Kluyveromyces lactis: one gene and its partner. The protein of the gene in region 1 purifies or fractionates together with the protein of each later gene. This does not show direct contact. Links are inferred from orthologs where the notes say so. Each region holds a gene or a part of one and is shown on either strand. Other genes may lie near its edges.

Evidence for each region. The genes of interacting proteins can lie anywhere in the genome.
Region 2: the proteins of RHO1 (region 1) and RDI1 purify together in Saccharomyces cerevisiae (affinity purification with western blotting; 3 studies listed by BioGRID, with this or other methods). This does not show direct contact. The link is inferred for Kluyveromyces lactis from reciprocal best matches to the Saccharomyces cerevisiae genes RHO1 and RDI1.

The regions. Positions count from the first base shown.
Region 1 is NC_006038.1:935,201-937,623, reverse strand, and holds RHO1 (Rho family GTPase RHO1), read right to left. Parts: upstream 1,128-2,423; coding exon 501-1,127; downstream 1-500. Other genes in the region: KLLA0_B10604g (uncharacterized protein), read right to left, coding at 1,931-2,423. UniProt on the Saccharomyces cerevisiae protein: Acts as a central regulator in the cell wall integrity signaling pathway, which is regulated by the cell cycle and in response to various types of cell wall stress.
Region 2 is NC_006042.1:523,345-525,657, forward strand, and holds RDI1 (Rdi1p), read right to left. Parts: upstream 1,101-2,313; coding exon 501-1,100; downstream 1-500. Other genes in the region: RBS1 (Rbs1p), read left to right, coding at 1-257; KLLA0_F05335g (2-oxo-4-hydroxy-4-carboxy-5-ureidoimidazoline decarboxylase), read left to right, coding at 1,635-2,219. UniProt on the Saccharomyces cerevisiae protein: Regulates the GDP/GTP exchange reaction of the Rho proteins by inhibiting the dissociation of GDP from them, and the subsequent binding of GTP to them.

The DNA of each region.
Region 1 (2,423 bases):
TACAAGGTTTAATCAATGTAAAAGAAGCGCTTGGGTTGTGGCAAAGCAAGTGACATTTATAAGATGAGAAAGTGCAGTATAGTGGTGATAATATTTAAGTTTCTTACAAAATAAAAGAGTGTAGGTATATAAAAATAATTTATAGGTAGAAACACACAAAACAGAAGAGAGGTAGAAGAGAAAATGTCAGGGAGGGATGGTCACTTGAAACCAGATGGAAACAAAGAAAAGAACGAGGAGAAAAAATTAGGAAATTCAACGGAAATTAATTGCTGACATTTGTATATTAAAAATTGATCAATTAGAAACAAATGAATATGGTTTGTTCGTCTTCCCTCTTCTTTTTTTTTGGATCTTTACTTCTGCCAATTAACGGTTGTAAACAATTCCCATCGCCTAATAATAATATCCTCAAAGCTCAGTCCTCTGTTTCAAGGTAAATTCAAATGAAGTTGGAGATAAGGGGGTGAAGAGTGGGTTTGGGGCGTGCGTGTCTTTATTTACAAGACGACACACTTCTTTTTTTTGCTAGACTTAGTCTTAGGTTTGCTCTTACCTTGTTTACCGACCAAAGAAGCTCTTGTAGCAGCCTCGAAGACTTCTCTGACACCGTAACCGGTCTTGGCAGAACATTCGATGTAGTCAACAGCACCGATTTGGTCAGCGACTTCTTGTGCTTGAGCCTGAGACACAGGTTGTAATCCTTGAGCTCTTAGTTCTTCAACAACTTGAGGATCATTTCTCAAATCTGCTTTACAACCAACCAAGATGATTGGAACACCTTGACAAAAGTGTAAAACTTCAGAGATCCATTTTTCCATCACGTTTTCTAAGGAATCTGGCAAATCAATTGAGTAACAGATTAACACAACGTTGGAATCTGGGTACGAAAGTGGTCTCAATCTATCATAATCTTCTTGGCCAGCAGTATCCCACAACGCCAATTCTACGCGACGACCGTCAACTTCGACATCAGCAACGTAATTATCGAAAACAGTGGGCACGTAAACCTGAGGGAACTTACCCTTGGCGAAAACAATCAATAAACAAGTCTTACCACACGCACCATCACCGACAATAACTAGCTTTCTTCTAATGCTGGCAACATTACCAACAGCTTGAGACATTATGGAAAGGGTTAAAACAAATCAAATCACTACTTTTTTTTATTGTATTATAAAATCAAAGCTGTTCGAAAACTCTTGAGTAATTCTGTTTTATGACACTTAGAAGGAATCTATATTTCTTACTCAATAACTTGCTTTAGAAACTCTATCCTTGATTGATTCTTCACTAGTTAAAATAGGAAAATAAAAACAACCCGAAATAAAAATCAAACCTCTTAGAAAACTAACGATAAGCTCTGTCTTTGACCTATGATTTAGTACCGTCCGTATACTGAATCACTCACAACAATAACCTGTATCAATAGTAAGTCTAGACCTGGTTTCTACACCTCGTTCACTCGAGTCCAGTTTCACTTAATGTTGTTGTTGTTATTATTAAATTTTTGTATCTTTAAACTTATTTCAAAATTCCTAAATATACACTTTTCCCAAAACTTTCGATCTGTCTATGGGAATCACACACAAAAGACAGAAAAAGCGAAAAATTTCAAATTTGAGAGAAAAATTGGCGATTCTATGGTATAAAAAAGGGTACATTTGTGTGCAATCGATGCAATTGCAACGGTCGACGCACGACTCAGTGTGTGAAACTTGTGTGTATCTATATAGTGGTATTGTAGTGAGAGTCGAGCGGAAGAGCGATAGAATTTGGCGTTTAATTGACCCGGATCATTGTCAAATACTGGAGCTTTTCCTAATCTGAAACCGAAATTTTTCAGCAGCCACGTCTAAGCCATGATGAGAATGAAAGAGAAAAATAGCATATGGTACAGTACAGTACAGAATATGCATAACAAGCTAAATCACTCAATATGTAGAATAGCGGTCTTTATTGTGGTTATGTGCCCTGTGCTGTGAAGTACAGTCCATTCGTGGAGTTTTTCTTCAGTTTTAGTCATCATTATGTCCACAGGATGCGAACGAACTGTGATCTTGCATGTAGTAGTTTTGTCCACCGGGTATCTTTCTATGCCATGGATTGTGTTTCTGACAAAAACTATTATCCCTTCAGTAGTGAATCTGTCATTACCCCAAATGATGAGCCAGTTTGGTTCGAAAAATCTTGTTTTCAACGTATCTTCCCTGATGAAGTTAATCCATTCGTACTCTTGTAAGCTTACGAGGGCTTTGGTGCCATATTTGATAAATTCATTGATTCGTCCCACTTGGCAAAAGGATTCATCGGAGTCTAGTTCTCGTTTCAATTTCATGAGTATTAGATTTGAAGAAACTTTCAATTCCGAGATTTCGTGGTGGAAACCGAAGTCGTGCTGTATAATTAAGTTCGTTGTTGTA
Region 2 (2,313 bases), on another chromosome or scaffold:
TGCCACCTCCGATGGCACCAATGAGACCAGATTCTATTCCGTTCGGATATCAGATGGTAGCGCCAATGGAGTATATGTACTACCCTATAGGAGCTCCAATGACTAACAATCGAATGATGATACCAGGACAACCAATGTATGCCATGCCACCACCAGTATTTCAACCTTATGAGAAAAAGAACAGTGGTAAAAATGACTCTAATGGATACAAAAAGAATGGAAAACCCATAAATGAAGCACGTCATTTTCGTTGCTGAAGCAAATAAAAGTTAGATCTAATCATAGACGTATATAATGCGATTACAAACATAATGGTTTTTACTTGTTCATATTGAAATGTTTCAGCTTTTAGAGAACGCCAGCTACGTTGTTCAGAAGATGGGCCCGGGCAATGACTAGCCTGGACATGAACATTACTTCGTCACTAAAGATTCATCCACAATCAATGTCTGATCAATGGCGAAAATATTGTCACAGCTTAGAGTATGTATCATAAATCATCACCTTTTCACAATTTCAACACCCCAATTCAAAGTCAAATGGTTGTTCTTATCATCATCTATGAACTTTGAGACTGCAGAATAATTCCCGCGAACAAGGAAACCACTTGGCGCTTCAGATTCAGGCAATTCCACCTCATAAAATGGGTTCTTTGTGGTATTTGGAGCATACGAACCCAAGTGGTCATCAATCTTATCAACTGCAATGCCTGCCTTTTTGGTGTATTGCACGTATCTTAAGCCAGTAATAATTTCGTGTTGAACCTTGAAAGTGATCTTCAAATGGTAAATAGATTTTTCTTTGATCTTGTATCTCTTTGAGGCCAGGTCTTTCAAAGTCTTCTCGTTTGTCAAATCAAACGTAATTGGCGCTGGTTCTGTGTCAACGATCAACTGAATCTTCTGGATCACCACACGACGTTCATCCCCAGGATGTTCCAATGGTAAAACATCACCTCCCAATCCTAAAGAATCTTTCCATTTTCTTAACGCCTCATCATCAGCATCTAAGTTTTTGTATTCTTCTACAGTCTTCTTCTCCCCGACTTTGTATGTATCGTTTTCTTCATCGAATTGTTTAAACTCCTCTTCTTCAGACATGGCTAGAAACGGTCACGGCAACTCACGAATGATATCACTGAGAGTGGATCCAATGTTTGATTAAAAAGATTTAAAGTATAAAGCGAGAACTTTAATGGCGTTGGATCAACTCTAACGCCCAAGCTATCAAATTGCCAATATTTTGCATGTGTTCTTACACAGTGTCAAAGTCCGCTCGAGATCTGATGTCGTTAGTTAAGAAACCTCAAATAGTTGCACTTCGAGACTCGACACGCATCAGTGAAAAGAACGAAGTAAAAATAGGAAAACCATTGACAGCACGTGACTTGAAAATCACGGGGATCTCCGCACGTCTAATCACTTCACACTCGCCCTTAATGATACATGGAAATCCTATCACAATTCACATCACAACTGATCAAACACAGTATATATATATATAGATATATTAATAAAGAAACATGTTTGTATGCTAGTTCATTCGACAGCTTTATCCTGACATTTCCGATTACGTGAAGAGCCTAATCGAATAAACTGGTTTCAACGAAGAGCGTATCAACGTTACCTGCAAATATGACAAGATTGCCCAGTATCGATGAATTCAAAAGCTCATCACTTAATGAACAAATTGATATTCTAGACGTATTGTTTGAACACAGTGATTCTTTAGTATGGTTCACTCTCCAAAATTCTCGATTCATGGCTAGTGGATGGAATTCTTACGTGGAACTCGTCAACGCCATTAAGGATAAATTATTGAAAGTGTGCGACGATACAGAGGCAGAAGGAATTAGCAGCCGTGGTGTAGATCATCTGGCTAACATAGTGGGTGCTCATCCAAGACTCGGAGATTCAAAACAGAAACTGTCTGTCCATTCCATGAAAGAGCAAGCCAACTTAACTGGTAGCACAGTCGATTCTTTAGAAATTTTGACATGGTTAAAGACTTTGAATGACAAGTACGAAAAGAAATATGAGGGGTTGAAGTTTGTAGTCTTTGTAAATGGCAGATCTTACGATAGAATTAGTAAACTGATGGAGCAAAGAATCAATTCCAATAATACGTGGTTCGAAGAGTGTAGGATAGCCATCAACGAGATGACAGATATCGCCATTGACAGACTTAACAAATGCAGTGAAATTAAGGGCAAGATATAATATTCCAAAAACGAAAGGTAAATAATAACACTTGAAGCAACTATAGTTTTTCTGATTCATTGCGAGGGCAGCGTTACATTCTCCAAATATATCA